Arabidopsis thaliana: one gene and its partners. The protein of the gene in region 4 interacts with the protein of the main gene of each other region in a pairwise test. Each region holds a gene or a part of one and is shown on either strand. Other genes may lie near its edges. The genes, in order: PNM1, AT1G30880, AT3G06590 and NAP1;1.

Region 1 (5,228 bases), on a different chromosome or scaffold from region 4:
AAAGATTTGCTTATGATAATGTTCCTTTGGAGAGTTGCGTTGTTCATGTTGCTTTGTGGAAGACGCAAGTAATGTTCCAGGTCACTGCATAAGAACAAAAAAAGAAGCAGGTGAGTCTCAAAATCAGAATTACAGATTTGTCGAGGTTTGTTTTTGTTGTGAAACTTACTTAGGGCTGCAGTTATTCTCCTTTTGTCGGCGGTTGTAAACCTCGTTGGTCTAACGTTCTTACTCGGTCCACATATGTACTGTTGTTTAGGTGCCGTGAACATGAAGTTTGCCGGCATCCGAGCAGTCTTAACCGAGTTACCAGCGCTACCAACAGATAACTGGAATGCACTTTCTGAACCAGGTTTTAAGACACCGCTTTTGCAGCAATTAGCGATCTGCTGATTGAAAGGAGTTCCGGGAAGCAAATCGACAACTGTTGGCTTACGAACGCAGGACTGCGGGATATTTCCTTTGAACATGGAACAACCTCCTTGCCCTGTCGTTTTTGCACCCAACATGTTCCAGATCACTTCTTTCTTGGTCCCTCTCCAGCTCATTTTCCATCCTGGAATCGAACGTTGCTTCTGGTAATTGTAGGCTGTAACCACTGCCTGAGATAGAGTCAATTTTGAAGTTAAAGCAGACTCTGAGATTTTGTGAGACACGAAGAAGAAGAACTTACAACGTAGCCATCAGGCGTCCAGTTCAAGAGATCCCATTTGACTGTGATGTTTCCATAGTTGCTGGTGAGAGCTTCTGCAGATTAAAGAACATAAAAGACTTTTGAAGTTTTAGAAAAGACAAATGCAGGTGATTGTGTACAAGGAAATTTACCTGTAGAAATGAGACAGGAAAAAGAAACCAAGAGCAGGACAATCATCGTGGAGAAGAGAGACTCCATTCTTGTGGTTCCGATGTGAACAGAGACAGAGAGAGACTTTGTAAGAATATAGATCAAGGCGACGACTTTGACTAGTATACATTTGCACGTTGATATGCCTTTATACACGGGATCTTGTTTTAACTTTAATATATTAGATAATTAACAAAGATTAGCTGACTTGATCCGTTATAATTAAACTCAACTTGGATGTACAAGAGAAGCATTCAATTAACCAAGAAACCTAATTTTACCTCCGATTCTTGAGCCAAGCATGAACTCTTAGTAAACGTTACACTGAGACAAAACAAAAGATTATTGGGACAATTTGCTCATGATCAAGCAAAATGATGAGTACTCTTGACAATATCTTAAAAAGGAAAGAACAAAGACAATAATCTTTAGAAAATTCTATCAGATGTTGAAGATTCATCAGCATCACATTCTCCGTCTCATCTTATTGTGCGGTTTCTTAACAAAACTCATATTGATCTGCTTGAGCCGTTTCTTCTTCCTCGCGGTTTTCTCAGGCAAAGTCTCCCTCTTCTTAACATTGCTATCCACTTCCTTGGTCTTCTTTTTCATAAACCGTGGATCTACTCTGTATTCCTTAGGGCTAACAGCGATTCCTTTCTTAGCCGCTTCTTTATACAAACCATTAGCTCTAGTCAGCTGGTTATTCGCACACATTTTCCCCATCAACAAATCATAAGTCTTGATCCCAGGTTTGCATCCATTAGCTTTCATGCTCTTAAACACACTCATCGCATGCTCAAGCCTCTCAATCCCACACAATATCTTGAGAAACCCGTAATACTCTTTCTTATTCAAAAGCTCACCATATCCCGCTGATTTCATCTTATCGATCATTTCGTCCCCTTCACCGATCCTCGCTGCTTGATACAAACTCCTAATCAGAACAAGATAAGTCTCAGCATCTGGTTGACAACCCCATTCACCCATCCTACCAAACAATGTCATTGCTTCTTCAGTTCTCCTGATTTTACAAAGATTGTTAATCAACACATTGAAAGTCTCTGTGTTTCTAGGTACACCACGAAACTCCATCTCCAGCAAAACCTTCTCTACTTCAGGTTGAAGCTTAAAAGGATCTTTCTTCCTACAAAGCTTACAAACACAATCAAGCATCATGTTATACGCTTTGGTTCCTATCTCAAATCCTCCTCTAGACATTTCACCAGCTAACCTAGTTGCTTCATCGAGTTTCTCAGCAATACACCATCCACTAATCAACAAATCACATATATTCTCATCAGGAAATATTTCATTAGCAGTGTTCTTCACCATCTTCTCTGCGATACTCGCGTGTCCTTTCTCACAAAGCTTCTTCACAACCAAGGTAAGTGATTCTTTATCACGTTTCAAACCATAATCATTCTCCATTTTCTCGAAGAAATCAGTGACCTGCTTAGGTCTACCAGCTCTAACAAGCCTATCAATCGCCGATTCTAGTGTTTTACCTCCGGCGATACCTTTGTATTTCGAGATGATCTCTAGCATTCCTTTGAAATCTTTCCGACGGCCAAAGTAATCGACGAAAAACGAAACTGTTTCATCGGTGTGAGAGAAGTTAGAGTTCGAATCTAACCACTCGTTAAAACCTAGAGCCGCGCGACCAGCTTCCGGTGAGAGATTAAGAGTTTGGAGAATCAAATCGGGATTAGGCGTGATGTGGGAGAAGCTGAGATTGAATCTCTGCGAAATGGTTTGAGACTCGGCGTCTGGATTCCCGGTGAGCTCCTTCGAGAAAGAGAGAGCGATCTCATTCGAATCCAAAGATTCCGATTCCGCATTCGTTTCAGATGAGAAGAATCTAGAAGGAAATGTTGAGAATATAGAGGAACGGGAAGGGGGAAGAGGAGAAAACAACGGCTTGGAAGAAATGATACGGGGCTGAGATTGAAGAGTATTGACGGAGGAGGAGGAAATGAAGCTACGGAGGAGAAGCCGTCGGAGTTGCAGAGACGGTAACGACGGCGGCATTTCTGATTTAGTGAGAGAAAATTGGTAACTAGAGAGTTAGTGAGAAAGGGAAATAGAATAAAACCCTAGTTCAGGATTTAGGAACATCTTGAGTAATTGGGCTTCGTTTCGGGCCTTGATTTGCTTAAGCCCCTTTTGATTGTTTAATTTGAATTTATTATGTATCTGTTTCATTTTTACTCAAAATGGGGGTGTAGCTCATATGGTAGAGCGCTCGCTTCGCATGCGAGAGGCACGGGGTTCGATTCCCCGCACCTCCACCTACTCTAATAATAATCATGTTATAATTTTATTATTCATTTTTTTTTTAATTTAATTAATACATAGAGTCCTCATAGAATTAACATATTCCTATATTTGTTACTTAAATGTTGTTCGTTTCTAGAAGTTTTAACACTATTCAATTTTATAAACTGCTAATTAATAAGTGCTATTAAAAGAGTTCAAAGACGTTAATCAAGATAATTAATACCATAGTTTTGTTCCCTTCCATTTAAATAGGCAAGGATTTTATTGTTGTTCATCAATCAACTACTAAACATATATTTTGTTATACTAACAAAGTTTTTTTTCTTTATTTTTTCTCAATATCTCAGTATGTCTATTAAAAATGTGATTTCACTTTTAATGGTCATATGCATTATAGTCTCCGTAAATGCAAGGCCACCATTTTCGTCTATTTTTACTGATCCATATCCGTTACTTAATAGTTTTCCAGTATTTTCTCGTATATTCAAATGTTATTCATCTGTGATGAAATTTCCAATATGCGTTATAGAAACTACTCAATCCGTATCTAATAGGCGATGGGTGATTAGTCCTTATTGTTGCAAGGCATATTTACATACCAGAGATTACTGCTTGCCAAAAATTCCATACATGCCACATTTTCCTTCTTTCATAAGAAATCATTGTTTAAAAGTTGTTAGAAAATAGAATTTTAATATATATATATATATATATATATATATATATATATAAGTCTTTTAACAAAAATAAAGTTGATTTGCTAAATGTTGTACTCAAAAACTACAATTATACAATAATAGCATTACAACATTCACTTTTCTGTGTTTCATCTTTATTTAGTTGACAATATGATACTTTACATGGACATAGACATATAAACAAATAGTTACAAGGTTAATCTTCTTAAAAAATTTATGTATTTATAATTACGAATATTGAAATTCAAATCAGCAAACATGGTGAACAGATTATGTCTGGATGATGGAAATCACACATTCTAATACGTCTGAACTCTCAAGTTTTTTATTTTATAGCCGGTAACACTATAGGAGAAAATAATAACATATTAATAATATCTATATTTTTGAAAAGATAACAATCATGACTCATGAAACCGTGTCTCCCTGGCCTCCAGAGACCTCCGTAGCAAAAGTAAAAAATTATTTTGAAATTTGTGAGTCTTCTTCTAACTTGATCATTTTCTTTGGTTGCATGTGAGTCTTATATATCGTGATGAAGTCACAAAGGTTCTTTTCATAATATTTATCTTCATGTGAACATCAGCACATGAATATTATGAGTCTTATACATCAGTACATGAAGAACCCTGAACCCATCACTTAAGCTTTTAGTTTATCGTCACGCAGTAGTTGGAAAATATGGAAAACGAACCGAATTATATATTAAAAATACCTTTATAATTTCGGATGCCTCCGTAGCATAGTGGTATTGCGTTCGCTTCGTAAGCGAAAGGCCGCGAGTTCGATCCTCGCCGGGGGCTCATATTGATTTTGTCTTCTTTAGAAAATTTGTGAGCTCTTTCTCCTTTATTTTTACAGCCCAATAGCGTGTTCCCTTTGTGCGCTTATGTCCCGGTCCTCCACATAATTTGCTTACGAATATATCTCACGTCGTCATCATTTTGGGTTAGTCAGATGCTCAGCATAGGCTATGAGAATGTCGGTTCCTAACAAGCTTCCAAATACATATATCGTCAGGGATGTGTGCTAAACTAATCTCCTAATACATATATTTCGAACCTAATCTCCTAATTACTTGTTTGGAGTTAGGAGAATGATCGTTATTTGTATCCAACACTCAAGAAATGACATAAAAGGCATTAATATTTATATCGACATCAAACTAAACATGTAGACTATATGGAAATTACAACAACTCCAATTAACTAACTATAACTAGAAAACAAAATTATTTCGTACCGTGAAAAATCTAGCAAAACTGTATATATATTATACAGTCTATATTGAGAAATGAGGTTCAGATAGATCTCCATGTCGATATAAATGTAGAATTGGTAAAATGTTTATTTGAAATTTTTTTATTACGGTTTTTATACTGGCCTACATAAAATATGATTAAAAAA
Region 2 (4,387 bases), on a different chromosome or scaffold from region 4:
CTTACCTGGAGCGGGAGGATACGGAGGCGATGACGATGATGATACAAAGTCATTGTTCCCTTTGGACAACCTATTATCGTTGAATTATTATGATAGGATTTGTCCAGATTTTGAGAAAATCGTTGTTACGAAAGTGAGGGAATGGACTAAGAGTGACTCTTCCCTTGGTCCCGCCCTCCTCCGCCTTATCTTCCACGATTGTGGCGTCACGGTATTGCAATTAATCGTTCAATTATATATAGCCAATGTTTTGATTCATATATGATTTACATTGTTCTAAAAATGGGTTTCACTATTACTCTATTAGAGATTAGAATTGTTCTTCCGTCTATCTAGACCATACTTGGAACATTGATAGTATATAGATATAAGTTTCTTAATATTGAAGACGGACTTGCGCACTTTATTCTGTGTATAAACGCATCTGAGTGTTTTGCGCATATCTAATATAGTTATGCATTTTAAAAGATAACAACTTGACATTTTTGTACATGAATTAACACAACTTTCAGGGATGTGATGCGTCTGTTCTTCTAGACTACGAAGGGACAGAGAGAAGATCTCCGGCTAGCAAAACACTAAGAGGCTTCGAGCTAATTGACGATATCAAGTCCGAGATGGAGAAATCATGCCCCGGCAAAGTATCCTGCGCCGACATCCTAACATCAGCCAGCCGTGCCGCCACCGTCCAACTTGGTGGTCCTTACTGGCCCAACGTCTACGGTCGTCGTGACTCCAAACACTCTTACGCTAGAGACGTAGAGAAAGTCCCTTCAGGCCGTCGTGATGTTACCGCCCTTCTCGAAACGTTTCAGTCATACGGTCTCAACGTCCTCGACCTAGTTGTCCTTTCCGGGGCCCACACCATCGGAAAAGCGTCCTGTGGCACCATCCAGTCGAGGCTTTACAACTACAACGCAACCAGTGGTTCAGATCCTTCGATTGACGCAAAATACGCTGATTACTTGCAACGCAGGTGTCGCTGGGCCTCTGAGACCGTCGATCTCGACCCTGTAACTCCAGCAGTGTTCGATAATCAGTACTACATTAATCTTCAGAAGCATATGGGAGTTTTGTCGACTGATCAGGAGCTTGTTAAGGACCCAAGGACTGCTCCGCTTGTAAAGACTTTCGCAGAGCAATCACCTCAGATATTCAGACAGCAGTTTGCTGTGTCCATGGCTAAGCTGGTCAACGTTGGAGTTCTCACTGGTGAAGATCGTGTCGGAGAGATCAGGAAGGTTTGCAGCAAATCTAACTCCAGAGCTTACTAAATTATAATCATCATCCCTCATGAGAAGGATCTTTTGTTTCTTGAAATAATTTCTTGTTTGGTTTTTGAGCTCTTTTCTATTGCAATTTTGTAATTTGTTGTATGAACAAGAACAAAAACTGTGAATTATTTTCGTTGCAACTTCGATTTACATGAGTTCTACACTTACCGTCACTATTTGATCAAGACAATACTTAATATCAGTCCAACATGATCAATTTATGTCAAAGGGTTCATGATGTTAATGGTAATAACCCTAAACGTTAACTCTAAATCAAGTTGTGATGATAGCTTTTGGTGCAAGAAAAATGAAAGATGGGAGACACAATTCAGACGCGATCACGTTTTTAGGGTTTCTATAGTACTGAAACTCATGGAAAAAACACAGTACAAAAGATGCTATATTCTAAGACATTGAAGAACCCCAAAATTAAGAGAGAACATAAATTATGCAAGTAGAAAACAAACCCAGTAGAAGAAAGCCAAGACCAGTTTTAGTTTCGTTTGCCTCGAAGGACACCCTTACTACGACGATTCTTCATCCCCAGCTTAAACTTCTTCTTCAACTTCTTCCCAATAGGTTTTAGCGACTTGTTTTTCTTCTCATCATCCATTTCCTCATCTACAAGCAAACAACAATAGTATCCCAAAACAGAACAAACCCTTAATACCAAAACTTTCAAAGATATACTTGTAGATGCACACAAAATTCAATATAAAGAAACCAAACAAAGCTTTTAGAGCGATACGTTTCTCTTAGAGTAACAACCTTCCCAAGAGTAATGAACTAACAAGCTCCTTCAAAGATTTCAACTAAAATGAATGATTCAGTTAAATTTCAGATTCTAAAGCTTAGCTTAAATTCGATTCTTCAAGCGTTACCTTATCTAAAACCAAATCGTACAAAATCAAAGAGGCAAATTTAGAGGAGGCATACCACTATCGTTGGCGATTGTAGTGGAGGCAGATGCAGACTCAGAGGAAGGCGTCGCAACTTCCATAAACGGAGAAACTGGGGCTTGACGAACTGGTAACTTCGGAGCAGCGAGTGCGGCTTCAATAGCGGCGGATTTGGCGTCTTCTCTCGTTAGAGTGAATGATTCCTTCTCCACTATTTCTCTTCTTATTGCTCTCAATCTCTTCACCCTCTTGCATCTCATTGATTTCGCCATTGTTGTGCTTGGGGAGATTTGAAATCAGGGTTTTGAGGCAAAAGGGGTTTTAATTTCTGCGTCGGACTTCTTTTATAAAGTCTAAACCTAATTGAGGAACAAAGGAATTGCTCCGGTTCTGTTTGGTTACGAGTTTAAATGTATCCTATCCAAGTTTAGAGCCTATTCGGAAAATTATTGGCCCAATTTAGGCCCAAATAAATAGAGAAGAACGCTTCGAATGGAAAACCCGATAATACCCTTCTTCGTCTGCGTGCAGATCACACTGTTTGATTTCTGAGGAGAATCCATTGTTTCCATTTGAAGAAAACTCTAACTTTCTCGTTGAAGCTTTGAGCTCTCTACCTCTTTATCTCCGGGTTAGTTTTGATTTGGTGTGGATCGGTAGTGGAATTTTGCTCTTCGTCTTGCTATTTCGTATGCGTTGTTGTTTCTCGATTAGCGAATCAGATCTTTGTTCTTTTGTTAGATTTGATAAATTTCGATAGATTTTAGGTTTGGATTGATTGTGTTATTGAACTTGAATGCTTCTGGTTGAATCATAGATCTAGTTTTGGCTTTGCTTTGTTATGCATTGTCGTGATTGAAATTCGAAAAAGCAATGGAAGTGATTACGAATTGAGATTATGACTTTAGAATCGATATTAGGATCTAAGAAGATTCTGTGGAAATTGAAATTGAAATTTTGAAGAAGATTCTGTGGAATCTAAGAAGTAAATGTTGATAATACTGTTTGGTTTCAAGAGTTAAGAGTTTAGAAGTTGGAGATGTGTATTGACTGTGGTTGGTTTGGTTTGAGATAAAGATGTGATTGTTTTGGTTTGATGGCAGAGATGTATAATAACATGGGACCTCAACCGGGGATGCCAAGACCTCCAGGAAACCCTGAGCCTGGTCCATTTGGTAATCCTTTCACTGGAGCTGGCTCGGGTTTTATCCGTGGTGGTTTGGGAGCGTATGGGGAGAGAATTTTAGGATCGAGCTCTGAGTATGTTCAGAGCAATGTAAGTGAACTCTTTATGATTCCATATCACACGTAATATCTGGTTTTCATGGTTTTGAACTTGTTGTTATCGCAATGGAATAGATAAGCCGGTACTTCTCTGATCCGCAATACTATTTCCAAGTGAATGATCAATATGTGAGGAATAAACTGAAGGTTGTTCTGTTTCCTTTCCTACACCGGGTAAGCTAGTCTTCTCTTTTCTTCTTCTGTTTGGGACTTTCTCTTATTATCAGCCATTTAATTGTACTATTGTGGGTTCTGCTTCAAACCCTCAGGGACACTGGACCAGAATATCTGAACCAGTTGGTGGTAGGCTCTCATACAAGCCTCCAATATATGATATCAATGCTCCAGACTTGTACATTCCCTTTATGGCATTTGGTACCTACGTTGTTCTTGCTGGTCTTTCATTGGGACTTAATGGAAAGTAAGTGTTGTGCTTCGTCTCCCTCCCTATGATTCCCTCTAAATAGTTTTCTGTCTTAGGTCTTGAATGATTGTTGTGGACAGAGTGATTATTAATCCATTTCAAACCTGATTGGTCTCTAGGTTTACACCGGAAGCTTTGAATTGGCTGTTTGTGAAAGGATTGGTTGGTTGGTTTTTGCAAGTAATGCTCCTGAAAGTAACACTTCTATCACTTGGTAGTGGAGAGGCACCATTACTAGATATTGTGGCATACGGAGGGTATGCTTTTGCTGGTCTGTGTCTTGCGGGCTTTGCCAAAATAATGTGGGGATACTCGTACTACGCGTTGATGCCATGGACTTGTCTATGCACTGGGATTTTCTTGGTGAAGACGATGAAACGTGTTCTGTTTGCTGAAGTAAGAAGTTACGATTCGAGCAAACATCACTACCTTCTTCTGTTTTTAGCCTTGGTCCAGTTCCCACTTTTGATATGGCTTGGTAACATTAGTGTTAATTGGCTTCTTTG
Region 3 (6,016 bases), on a different chromosome or scaffold from region 4:
TTGCAGACATCGATACAATAATTAGAAACCAATTCATCTCAAAGTCAACGAAATTCCAATTTTTGCAAAAATTCAAAAACCCGAGATTATTTACCAGGAGAGCGAGCGAAGAGTTGGGGAGAAGCACCGAAGACATCGTTGAAATTGGCCTTCAAAACATCGAATCGTTGTGTAGCTTCTTGGAGCAGAGATCCTTCGCCGTAGACAGGCTCAAGAGATGTGAAGATCGGGACTGATACTTCTTCCGGTTTCGCCATTTTTGTAGTTTCTCCTTTTGGCTCTCTCTGTCTCTCTCGATCACTTGTCGTCACTTAACCTCTAATGTTCACAGTTATCACGAAACGTCTTCGCTAGAGCATAATTATTAATTGCCACCGATCTTATTTCTAAAATATATTAATTGTTTATCGTATTTAAGATCTGTTCCGGAAGATCGCTTGTATTTATCGAATATTTTGAATTTTAAAAATGAATATTTGTGAATATCTTACTTATCCAAAACTTTCGATCTTTTGGATTCCGGAACACGTTTATGAATCTTAATTCGTACTATATTTGTTGGTGATTTTTTTTTTCTTTGGGTAGGTTTATATTTGATAAACATATTATTCCCAAAAATGATGTTATTGATTAAAAAACGTTTCCTAATTCTTCTAACACTCTATGAATTCAGATAACACTAGATTAGATAAGTGTCCTAGTTTGAATTTAAATTTAATCGTATTTTACGTGTGTGAGAGTTATATCCTATATGTAAAAACTAAAAGTAATTTGAGCTATAAGATAATACTGAATGGATAAATAGTAAAAGTTTTCCGGTTAACCGTTGTTTTTAATTCCTGCTTAATTAGATTGAGTAACAAATATGCAAGTGTTAACGTGTAGCAACATGGAGGTATTACATACAATGTAGATAAAACTATATCTGAAAAAGATATTGATTTATGTGTAAATTAAAAATAATAAAAAATTTCTAAAAGATGATTAGAGGAATAATATATTACATTGTATATATTAGCCATAGGGTTTAGGGTTCAACTAGATTTTTAAGGTTACTCTTATCGTTTATTTATTTATTAATGATATATATATATATATATATATATATATATATATATATATTTATTTATTCACACAATTTAATAAGCAAACGTCTAAGTTGAAACCCTAAATTAAAATATCATTTCTCAAATCACTATAAAATGGAGTCTCTCCCAGAAGAAGTGGTTGTGAAGGAGATCTTGCCACGCGTGGCTCTTTCTTCACTCAAGCTTGTTCAACTTCAGCCTCGTATGCAAATCATTACATAATCTCTGCAACGACCCTCAAGTTCTCGAACACGTCTGCCTCGACGAAATCAAAACCGCAAACGATGACCTATAACTAAAGCTAGAGTTTTCTCAAGAGATGCAGAGAGAGCGGAAACACGGAAGCAGTGGCTCGTGAAGGAATTGTGAAGTGCTTTTACCTATTCAGTAATATTGTTGATGAAGAGAAAGGGATCGAATGTTTGCAAAAGCCGCGTCTAAAGGACTCAAAGCTGCCTCATATCTCTGTGGAGTGATCTCTTTGTGTCGCGGTGGGAAAGTTCCGCAAAAGAGTATCGAGATTTTCAAGTCTTCTTTTGTCGTGAAATCTTCGGCACTGAAGACTAGGAGAAACCTCCAGGAGTATCTGCAATGGATGGTTTCCAAATATAAAAATCATTTTTTGGGAATTAGGCTCCTTGGTTATAACTGTGTTCGACATGGACATAATTTTATCTGGGCAAGTTTCTCTAATAGTGTGTTGGCGAGTTTTAATCCAATCTTCTACAATGTTGCGGTTTATTTTCTCTAATAGTTTGTCCCTTTTGGCAATAATAATATAACTTATGAAATATGTGATGAAAAGAGTTGTCGTGCAAGTTAATAAGAGAAGGCTTAAAAAGAAACAAGAGGACAAAGGCATGGCCACTCCCATGTGCCTCCTCATACTTTTAAGGTCACTTCTCTCTATGTTTTAAATATTTTTTGCTTTTGTCGTCACTTGTCTCTTGTTGTCGCCTAGTCATACTCCAGTGTTCTTAAATCATATCCCTATCACAGAAATTCGTATATTAATTAAGCTAATGAATCAAACTCCTGTTAAGTCAATTTTAACTACAGGTTATTCAGTTTTGCTTCGTGATGAATATTGAAGGATATACAGTACGTGCAGAACTGCAGATTAGTGTTTGAGAAAACTTATTTAGTAACAGGGAATTATTAGCTAATTTAATCTTTTTTCTTCTTTTTTTCCTTTATATTTCTTGTGAAATAAGGAAAAGAAAAGAAAAAGAAGACAAACAACCTATAAGTATCAAAAATGGGATTCAAAGGAGGGGCAATAAAGCGAGTAGATGATTGAGTGACAGATCAATCTCATCAGTCATCATTCAATTCAATGAATTTGAATGTATCATTCCATTCATTCTCTAATGCATCATCACATGCTACCATAATCAAAACTAAAGTTAACCCATTATCTTCCTACATCTACTATAATGTATTTTAAAATTCTAAATGGGAAATTATTTTCTTTCCACTTTATTGCAGTACAAATCTATTTCATGTTGAAATTTCATATAGTACATAAGATGATATAGTACAAAGCCATATTGAATGAACTAAAAGTACATCAAAAGTTCCATATTGGTTTAGTTATCACATACTATGAGGTTAAAAGAGGAACCCATTTTCCCACTAACTCCAATAACGAATTCATCAATCTTATTTTTTTTTTGATCAACAACGAATTCATCAATCTAAATCAAATAATCCAACTACGATTTGAACCCTAATGGTAAAGACTTTATTAATCAATCATATACTTAATTTAGACTTGAGGATCGTAAAAATGGGAAGACTCGGTTCAAAATTTACTTTTACTTGTAGCAGAGAAGAATCAGCGGTTGGGAAGAGTAGTTACAGATTATAATCAAACCGAATCTTCTATATACACATAAGCTGTGAAAGATCGAGAGATGGTAGAATTAAAAAGACGATTTTAACCTCATCAAATCGGTGGAGGAGCTGAGCCGTAGGAGGAGAGAAGCTGAACTAAAGAGTTCATGGCTCTCACTTGCATCTCCAGAGCCTGAATATAATCAGTTGCTTCTTCTAGAATCACCGGTACGGATTGTTTACCGCAACCGGGAACTAACCGGCCTAGAACACGTACTTTCCGGTTAACATCCGGTATACTCTTCTTATTCAATCTCAACACCGACACTCTCCGTTTTCTCGATCTGTTGCTGCTGCTACTAACCACCGTAGTCATGGCCGGAATCGCCATCGTAGCTCGAGGACGTCTCTGTTTACGAAATTTCAGTTTGATCCGATTAGCTAAGATCGCTCTGCTCCAGAGTGTTCTTCCCCGAGCGGAAACGGCAAGAGCTCGATCGGCGGCTTCACGGACGGCCTTTCCTCGTTTCTGAGCCGTTGGAGATGATGATGTTGAGGCGGAAGAGTTGAGGCGGACTTGTTGGAGCGCTTGGAACAGTTTGGCTGAGTAGATCCGTTGTTGCTTCTCCGATCGCCATCGCGCGTGAATCTCACCGGAGACGGAAGATGCGCTTGAACGAGACGATGCGGCGGATGAAGCAGAGGATCTCTTCTTTCTCCGAACGAGATCTGAAGTAGTACTCGTCGGCGGTTCAATATCTGAGATCAGAGACGCCATAACCAAATAATTGGCTCTGATCTCCGCAGTCGTATTGAAAGAGCTACAGAATCCGAATTTATCTGAAGTTGAGCGGAAGAAAGTTATGAAATTGTGGAGAATAATGGAAGGGAGAAGAAGAGGAAGATATATAAAGGGAGAGAGGTATCAACTATCACGAGACGTAGCAGTTAACAAACGGCCCCGTTTTAGATGTAGCAGTTAATAAGCGGCGTCGTTTTGTCAATTTGTTTTTTAGTATTTGTTGTTTTAGCCAGATACGAAAGTGGCATTTGTAATGCATGATAAAGAGAATTCGTGAATACCACCAAGAAACAAATAATTTCATTCTCAACACTAGTGGAATTGATAAGTTATAATTAACTGGCTCTATAACCTCTAATGGTTTTGGAATAATGAGAGACAGAGACATCATTGTGACTTGAAGCAATGTTTATGAATTATGATTATACTTAAAAAGTTTTGTTCCACGTTGATTAGTTCACAATTATTTTTTTAAACTTACCCTCTTGACAGAGATTTTAGAAAGAAATTTATATACAAAATTTCTTACAATCACGAGTTTTCGATCTTTTGTAGACATAATCTAAATAGAGAGTAAAATACATAATAGAAATGCTACAAAGATCCTAATGTGGGTAGAGCATCCATAACGATAGTTTCCAATCAATTTAGGGTACAATCTTAATTACTAAATTAGCTTATTGATATCTAAAGATGTTTACGAAAAGAGAAAACAAACAAACTTGTATAAAGGCCGATACTTTGGTGGAATGGAGGAGGAAGGTAGATTCAAACGAAAGGATGACGTGTCATATTACTATTGGAGAAATCCATTTACGACTTATAGTGGTCGTTTAATGGACTGACAGGGCAAAAAGAGAGGGGCCAAAAACTCAAAACTTTGGATTTTGTATTCAGTGCAATGATTTCGTAAATATTGGAATTGTATTTAAAATACTACTTTACGCATAAAGTAATATACCAAACGAAATGCATGTGCGATGTAGGGTTAGTGGCACTGCCTCTCTTTACGGCTTTTTTTTCTTTCCCTGTAAAGAAAAGATCACTGAAATTAACTCCTGTATTTTATCAAAAAAAAGTTTTGTATGTGTATCTATCAATATGTATGAATAAAATTTCATTAAATTTTGTGTATATGTATAAGTAGATATAAGATTAATAGATTGTTGGGTAAAGTATAAGGGAGTGGCGTCATTTTATTCATATATCCTGCTGAAAAAAGGAGCTTCTGAACTTCTCCATTGGGTTAATTCATATATAAATAAAGCTAGCTACGTTCAAACTAATTTTCTAGAAAAGTTACTGTTAGTTTGATTTTTGTTTGTACTGTTCACTATGTTGAGTTTGATCAGCAGTTAAAATGGAAAATACCTATCTTAGTTTATGTTAGACATAAAAGTACCACAATGGTATATATACTGTATTAAGATGTTTTTAGGCGGGTGGAAAGGATGTTAGAAACAGAGCGCAATGCGCAATGCTTCATAGATAATAGTATTCATTTAACCTAAGGGCTAAGGGTTAATAATTGTGTCAGTAACGTGGCATATTCTCTGTACCTTAGAAAGTTATAAGCTAGAATGATTCCACATGACAAATTAATGATAAGAAACAACATATCCAATTATTCACTAAAGTGTCACTTACAATAAAATAGTTTATCTACTTCGAATTTAAGAATATATTTTCGATTTAGATACTTAAATTTTCTCAATTTATACTTTAGAATCAAGCAGAAAATTTGTTGGTGAAGAACAAAGCAACCTAATGAATTATCTGTTTTACGAACTGAGTCAAAGAAACCACTATTCGAATCTGCGATTTGCGTAATTCTCATGGGCTCTACTTCAACAACAACAACAAAAAAAACATGTATCACAAAGGTTGCTGGCTGTAATTGTTATCTTCCATTAATAGAAATAAATATATTTCGGATTGGAAGTTCAAATTTGTTACTATGAAAATTTACTACTGTAAATCATAATTCCAGCTATCTAAGGTTTTCAAATTTATTTGCAAATCATTATGTATCTCGGATGTAATGAGTTTTTTCTTATTATATTAATGAAAAAAGTTGATAAGGAAAGGAAAACTAACTATTAAGTATGATGAAGGTGGCACAGAGATTGCCTCCCTAATTCTAGACACCAAATAAACTAAGTGAACGACAGACAATGGAAGAAGAAGGACTAGTTTCTTTTTAAAGGAAGAAAAAGGGAAGTATTGATTAGATTAACAGATGATGATGCTCAATCATTGTTTTTTCAACGGGTCTATTTTGGATTGCTAA
Region 4 (6,712 bases):
ACCAAAACATTATAGTCCCCTTCAACACCAAACCATTTGACATTTGGAACACCAGCTACCAAAGTTAAGGCAAAAGAAAGGTCATAAGTAACACAAACTTTACATTATCAGAAATCAATATCTCATTCAGAAGATAAGAATCATTACTTCCCCCTTGTAGAATCCTGTATAACTTCGATTCATAGAGCAGCTGTGGATGTTTTGTCTTCACATTTTCCTGGGAAAACAAAAACAAAGAGAATCAAAATCTCAGCTTTTCAACATACTGAACTTGATCAAACTAAACATATTGTGATAATGTTACTTATAAATCCATAAACTTTTTGATCATCAAATTATTAAAATGGGATGACTGAAGAACTCACAAGCTTAATAGCCAGTTCTTCATTCGTATGAATATTAGTACCTGGAAAATCACAGGTTAACAACAATGTTAGAGATAATGTGACGAATTCGATAATCCATAAAATTAAAAACTAGAAAGTGAGAGAGAGACGAACCGAGATAGATCTCTCCAAACGAACCACTACCGATCTTTCGGCCGAGACGAAACTTGTTCCCCACACGAGGTTCCATAAATAACCACGAAACCCCTTGTACAATCTTAACAACCCAGACGCAGATTCAAATAGAGCGAAAGGGACCCCAAAAACAATCCTGACTAGAATCAGCCGCACCAGCAATCCAGAAAAACAACCCAGAGATCACGAACAATGAGATTACGGATTTTTCGCCGACTAAATCAAAACCCAGTAATCATCTTCTTCGTGCTCTCGATCTGGTGAAAAAACTCCATATGAACAGAATGTCGTTTTCTGGGATGCTTCTCTCTCTCTCTCTCCTCTCAAGAATTGAATACGAAGATAAAAAAAAAAAAAAAAAAAAAGAGCTTCGATGGACAGAAAACGATGAGGATGTCTTTCTCAAAGTTTGCGTCTTTTTTTTTTTCCTCTTTCCTTGCAGTTGCGGGTAATGTAAAAAAATTATTTACCTCTGAATGATTCCGGTTTTGTTGCTGTGTGCTATGTTCGGTTTGGTTTCTATGCTTCGGTTCAACCAAACAATCTAATGATTATGGCAAGCAGAATAGTAAAATAGAAAAAATGTGTAAAACATCTATAGAACACATATGTATATACATGCTGAGCATCTTTAAATCCACAAAAATACTACTATTTGAGCCGAATCTACCAACTAAACTAAACCTGGTTTTAAAATTATCCGGTTTATTTGAGAGTTTCAACAACAAGCGCGCTTAGACCATCATTATTCATAGTTTATAAGGTTAGTTCTTAGATAAAGTAGGTCTTAAATTTAATGTTATAATTCAATTAATTGTTAAAAATGACTCTTATATAAGAGCCAAATCTAATGTTTCTTAGGTTAATTCTTAGATAAATTAGGTATTAAATATAATGTTTTAATTCAATTAATCTTAATTCTTAGATAAATTAAGTATTAAATCTAATTGTTTGTCATATTTGTTTAAAATTTTATGTTATGTATGTTTCAAATTTTTTGAGTTGTAATAATTATTAAGTTTTTTAAAATTATAATGTTTCTACTTTTTTTCCAATTTTTTTTTTAAGAACTCAAGTTAAGAGTCCACCATTGCATATTGCCAAAATTTCAATCTCTTAACTAAATTCTTAACTTCAAAATTTTCAAAATCAATTATAAAAATATTCATAAGAACTATTAAGATTATGCTAAGAAACTACTATTAATGATACTCTTATGATGGCTATATGATATAAAAAGATTGACCACTTACCAGGTGTGTTTGCTACGCGTGACTTGAAAGCTCTACAAAATGTTTCTCTTAAGTGGGAGTCGTGGAGGTACAAAAAGCTTTTCACCTTTGCTTTTAATAGGATGAATGAAATGATTTACAGTTATCTGATTAGGTTGAATTTGTCTCATGGTTTTCTGGTTAAAAAAAAATGCTACGCGTGAGGCTTCTTTATTGTGTTTCTGGTCAGACGTATAAAAGGTTGAAACTTCAAATTGAAAATGTCGTGATGAGCTAATCTAGATTAGAGTACGTTTAATTCGTTTGAACTCGGGATGAGCTTAAACCAAACTAAAGATCTTTGTGCCTTTTGGGATATGACTTTTTGTTGTGGACTGTTTTTTTGTTTTTGTTGTGGACTGTTTTTTGTTTTTAATTAGTATGTACAGTGTATGTGAACAAAAGAAGTAATCAGTGTATTGGGCTTGGAAGGCTCATTCTTGGGATGGGCCTTAGTACTAACAGATTCAGAAATCTTCTATTTGATCCCATTAAAGTTCACTAACCTGTACTGTATTTGGTGAAGAATCAAATATATATAAGTGTATATATATATATATAAGTATATAGATAATTAATATAATTACATGCAAAATTTTAATTATATAGATAATTAAAGTTTATATATTAGTTATATATATTTATAATTGATTGAATTCATAAATAAACTTTAATTATCTATATATAAGTCAGTTCTCATTATCCATATATATATGTATGTAAAGTTTTGCATGTTATTTAATTCAATAAACTTAATTTTGCTTTTTAAAACATTAAACATCAATTTTTAGAGAAAGAAAAGTATATATAAAAAGAGAAAAAACTAAAATGGCATTTGTTATAATTTTGGTGTGAAAAGGAGGGAGAGAAAAAAACAAAAAAACAAAGAGGATTTAAGGGTTACGAGTCGCCTCCCCAAAACCCTTGTCCCTAGTCTCTTCTGCTTCTTCTTCTTCAAAATCTCTCTCTTCACCAAATCCTCAGAAGATGAGCAACGACAAGGATAGCTTCAACGTCTCCGATCTTACTGCTGGTAAAATACTCCTACTCACGATTACTCTTATCTCTTTCTCCGCCTCTTAAGCCAGAGCTGCTTTAACCCTAATTTCCTCTGTTATCTGACTGGTGTTCCTTTTGTTTACTGTTTTTTTGCAGCTCTTAAGGACGAGGATCGAGCTGGCCTTGTCAATGCTCTAAAGGTGAGTTTTTTTCCCCTTCTGTAAACTGTCCCGTGAGCATTTGCTATTGAAAGATATGGAGGATGTTGAGTTACTTTCCTCTGATTGTTTAGATACTATAAGCCGTGTCTTGGTGTTTAGTGTTTTGGTTTCAATGTCATTCTTCTAGTACAATGATAGTTTATGAGTTGTTAATACATTGTTATTAATTCACAGAACAAGCTGCAGAATCTGGCTGGTCAGCGTTCTGATGTGCTCGAGAATCTGACTCCCAATGTGAGAAAGCGCGTTGATGCCTTGAGGGATATACAGGTTAGCGAAATTTCTTTCACATTTTACCAAACTATGTGTGCTATATATCGTTTAATGGGGTTTGTTTTGTTTTGTGTGAGTTTTCTCCCTGCTTATCTGAATTTAAAGTTTCAAAAGTAAGGTGTTGCGTTTTGATTACTGATGACTTCTTTCCACGCAGAGCCAACATGATGAACTAGAGGCAAAATTCCGTGAGGAGAGAGCTATTCTTGAAGCCAAGTATCAAACGCTGTATCAGCCTTTGTATGTCAAGGTAATTGTTAATGAGAAAGTTTTACAAACCATTTTACTAAACTCAATGTAGATCTGTGTATACTCTTTTTGCTTATGTTTACTTATCTGCAGCAGTGTTAGTTTTCTATGTGCATCTTAATGAATTCTACTTGGTATCTTGTAATGGCACAGCGTTATGAGATTGTGAATGGCACTACTGAAGTTGAACTGGCTCCAGAGGATGATACCAAGGTGGACCAAGGAGAGGAGAAAACTGCAGAAGGTAACTTCATGAGCACTATGTCTTCTTTGTTTGTTGTTAATCTTTTTGGAAAGACAAAAACAATTTAACATTTTTCTCTGTTTTTCATTGCAGAGAAAGGAGTTCCAAGTTTCTGGCTGACAGCTCTGAAAAATAACGATGTTATTTCCGAGGAGGTAGCCTATATGCAGTTTTGGTGTTCGTTTTATAAACACTCCAATCATAACCATGGAATATGAGCATAACTTATTGTCATTTATGTCAGGTCACAGAGCGTGATGAAGGGGCTCTCAAATATCTTAAAGATATTAAGTGGTGCAAGATTGAAGAGCCTAAAGGATTCAAACTTGAGTTTTTCTTTGACACGAATCCGTATTTTAAGAACACTGTCTTGACAAAGTCTTATCATATGATTGATGAAGATGAGCCACTGCTTGAGAAGGCTATGGGGTAACTACTTATACTCTCTTGCAATTGTTGTATACTTTTAAGTATATTCTGCTTATTAGCTGATTGCATTGAGCTGCTTATTTTTTTTCTTCGCTTATATTGCAAATGGATTCTTATTCTTTCACCATTCATTTTCAGGACAGAAATTGATTGGTATCCTGGAAAGTGTCTAACTCAGAAGATTCTCAAGAAGAAGCCTAAGAAAGGTTCAAAGAATACTAAACCAATCACCAAACTCGAAGATTGTGAAAGCTTCTTCAACTTCTTTAGTCCTCCAGAAGTTCCGGATGAAGATGAAGATATCGACGAGGAAAGAGTAAGATAACGATTGTTAGAAAAACCTGTCATCATTTAGTTAATGTATTTAGTAACTCTTTCTCGTTCTTTGATGCAGGCTGAGGATCTTCAAAACCTGATGGAACAAGATTATGACATCGGGTTCGTCTTTTTCTAAACACACTTTCTCTGTTGATTTTATGGGTTTGCTTTTGAGTCATGGGACTACTTTATCACTGCAATCAAGGTGGTTACCCTTTCATTATTATCTGATCACAAGTACTTTTTACTTTCTGCAGATCTACTATTCGGGAAAAGATTATTCCTCGTGCTGTCTCATGGTTTACTGGTGAGGCTATGGAAGCAGAGGATTTTGAAATAGATGACGATGAGGAAGATGACATTGATGAGGATGAAGATGAGGAAGACGAAGAGGATGAGGAGGACGATGATGATGAGGATGAAGAAGAAAGCAAGACCAAAAAGAAGGTATAAAGTGCCCCAAGTATAGTTGTTTCTTTTTTTTTTTTTTTTCTTCATGCCACGTTAGTTTTTTACTAATCCTTTGAAATCGCTTAATATTTTTTTTTGCAGCCATCAATCGGCAACAAGGTATGTAACCTTTCAGAACTAAAGTTTATTTGATTTTGGAACTCCAACATTCAAATAACCAAACACAAGAAGTTTCAGGCTGAGCATTGTGATGAAAATAGAAATTAATATCGGAAATGTAGGCTCTAGAGGCCCATGAATCATACAGATTGCTGAAAGTAACTGAGCAATCCTAAAAAGTATGAATCAGTAAATAGGTAGTTACGTAGAAGACTCTGAGAAGGATACATGAATGACACAGCAGAGACTAAACAAGCTCTTTAATCATGGCATGGGCAGTACGAGATAGAACCATTCTCATGAATTCATTTTATTACTATAGTAGCAAACTAGCAATCAGTGTCTATGTTTGTGATAAATGTGAGAATCATCTGCTTAATTTTTTTTTCCTCTTGGACTGCAGAAGGGAGGGAGATCTCAGATAGTTGGTGAAGGTAAACAAGATGAGAGGCCACCCGAATGCAAGCAACAGTAATCTTTTACTACGCTCTACCAGACATAAAAGGATTGCGTGAAAATATAATTCAGGTCATTCTCTGTTCATCAAGAATGAGGATTGAGAAAAGGTTTTGGGATTTTTAAAAGTGAAATTCATCTTGTAGGAGTTTCGTTCGTTTTTCTATTGGTGTGTTTATTTTCTCTAAAGCACTTTAATAATATACCTTGGTATTTAATTTATGAATCAAGCATCATCATCCCTAGTCTCTGCATTCACTACTTCATCCCCTACCTAAACTTTGTCGACGAAAGAGATTTTAATAACCATTTAGATAGTAATGGGTAGTGGGAATGATCATTATTCTTTTGTTCACCGTCCTTTGATTTTCAATGGTAACCATTTTGTTGTGTAAGACTACAAAAGATGAATAATTGGACTATGACCATATTATATTAGTCAAGTCTAAATCGGTCGAAATCAGTTCACCTTTAAGATGAGTAATTTGACTAAATGCCTCCGCTTGTTCAACACTAATTATAATTTAAATTATTGTAGAAGGAAAACACAAAGAAAGTGAGGTTCCGAACATCCACAATTTGGACTAATCACATACTACTTAAGAAGTTTAATGCATCATTAGAGCTAAATGAGGGGAAAAAAAAGCTAGCTAAATAAACTTGAGACACTTGTTTGTGTTTGGTGTTATGAAAAACAAACTCAAAAGTCGCAACACTGTTTGGTAAATTGGAGACATGCGAAGAGGGGACCGCTTCGTTACCATTCAGAGTATTTGACGTAATATATTCCGTTTTAAGAAACCTATCTAGTTTCCAAGAAATTTACTAATAAAGGTGCTTGAGAAAGACCGTTGTTGATGATACGTTTTTTTATTTGCTAATGAAACGATTCGGTCGTTGTTTCTTGAAATTCCACTGTTATTAGACTCTTGACTCTGTTTTGTTTCCCGCCGATCTCGTGATGATGGCCACCACCACCACCACCACCACCGCTAGATTCTCTGATTCATACGAGTTCAGCAACACAAGCGGCAATAGCTTCTTCGCCGCCGAGTCATCTCTTGATTATCCGACGGAATTTCTCACGCCACCGGAGGTATCAGCTCTTAAACTTCTGTCTAACTGCCTCGAGTCTGTTTTCGACTCGCCGGAGACGTTCTA

What was found.
Region 1: the proteins of NAP1;1 (region 4) and PNM1 interact in binary tests that used the Arabidopsis thaliana proteins (3 or more experiments, as listed by UniProt).
Region 2: the proteins of NAP1;1 (region 4) and AT1G30880 interact in a two-hybrid assay, tested with the Arabidopsis thaliana proteins (2 studies listed by BioGRID).
Region 3: the proteins of NAP1;1 (region 4) and AT3G06590 interact in binary tests that used the Arabidopsis thaliana proteins (3 or more experiments, as listed by UniProt).

What each region holds. Positions count from the first base shown.
Region 1 is NC_003076.8:24,527,114-24,532,341, forward strand, and holds PNM1 (Pentatricopeptide repeat (PPR) superfamily protein), read right to left. Parts: upstream 2,920-5,228; 5' UTR 2,876-2,919; coding exon 1,310-2,875; 3' UTR 976-1,309; downstream 1-975. Other genes in the region: COBL5 (COBRA-like protein 5 precursor), read right to left, coding at 44-84, 170-602, 674-747, 826-892; AT5G60964 (ECA1 gametogenesis related family protein), read left to right, coding at 3,473-3,811. UniProt on the Arabidopsis thaliana protein: RNA-binding protein that functions in both mitochondrion and nucleus. In mitochondrion, it is associated with polysomes and may play a role in translation. Required during embryogenesis.
Region 2 is NC_003070.9:10,991,612-10,995,998, forward strand, and holds AT1G30880 (uncharacterized protein), read right to left. Parts: upstream 2,538-4,387; 5' UTR 2,446-2,537; coding exon 2,211-2,445; intron 2,087-2,210; coding exon of another isoform or gene 2,061-2,086; exon of another isoform or gene 1,896-2,060; coding exon 1,768-1,895; 3' UTR 1,391-1,767; downstream 1-1,390. Other genes in the region: AT1G30870 (Peroxidase superfamily protein), read left to right, coding at 1-211, 513-1,274; AT1G30890 (Integral membrane HRF1 family protein), read left to right, coding at 3,279-3,449, 3,533-3,631, 3,727-3,878, 4,001-4,387.
Region 3 is NC_003074.8:2,051,611-2,057,626, forward strand, and holds AT3G06590 (basic helix-loop-helix (bHLH) DNA-binding superfamily protein), read right to left. Parts: upstream 4,057-6,016; 5' UTR 3,703-4,056; coding exon 3,037-3,702; 3' UTR 3,033-3,036; exon of another isoform or gene 2,079-3,032; 3' UTR 1,469-2,078; exon of another isoform or gene 1,390-1,468; 3' UTR 1,137-1,389; downstream 1-1,136. Other genes in the region: GALK (Mevalonate/galactokinase family protein), read right to left, coding at 95-257. UniProt on the Arabidopsis thaliana protein: bHLH transcription factor that binds DNA on specific sequence 5'-CANNTG-3' in target gene promoters. Negatively regulates brassinosteroid signaling.
Region 4 is NC_003075.7:13,229,933-13,236,644, forward strand, and holds NAP1;1 (nucleosome assembly protein1;1), read left to right. Parts: upstream 1-2,635; 5' UTR 2,636-2,779; coding exon 2,780-2,825; intron 2,826-2,947; coding exon 2,948-2,991; intron 2,992-3,186; coding exon 3,187-3,282; intron 3,283-3,442; coding exon 3,443-3,535; intron 3,536-3,687; coding exon 3,688-3,778; intron 3,779-3,871; coding exon 3,872-3,933; intron 3,934-4,022; coding exon 4,023-4,207; intron 4,208-4,345; coding exon 4,346-4,523; intron 4,524-4,601; coding exon 4,602-4,645; intron 4,646-4,782; coding exon 4,783-4,972; intron 4,973-5,077; coding exon 5,078-5,095; coding exon of another isoform or gene 5,096-5,128; exon of another isoform or gene 5,129-5,498; coding exon 5,499-5,570; 3' UTR 5,571-5,976; downstream 5,977-6,712. Other genes in the region: CK1 (casein kinase 1), read right to left, coding at 1-55, 148-217, 366-406, 501-576; AT4G26120 (Ankyrin repeat family protein / BTB/POZ domain-containing protein), read left to right, coding at 6,513-6,712. UniProt on the Arabidopsis thaliana protein: May modulate chromatin structure by regulation of nucleosome assembly/disassembly. Contributes to the regulation of cell proliferation and cell expansion. May function in nucleotide excision repair (NER). Involved in somatic homologous recombination.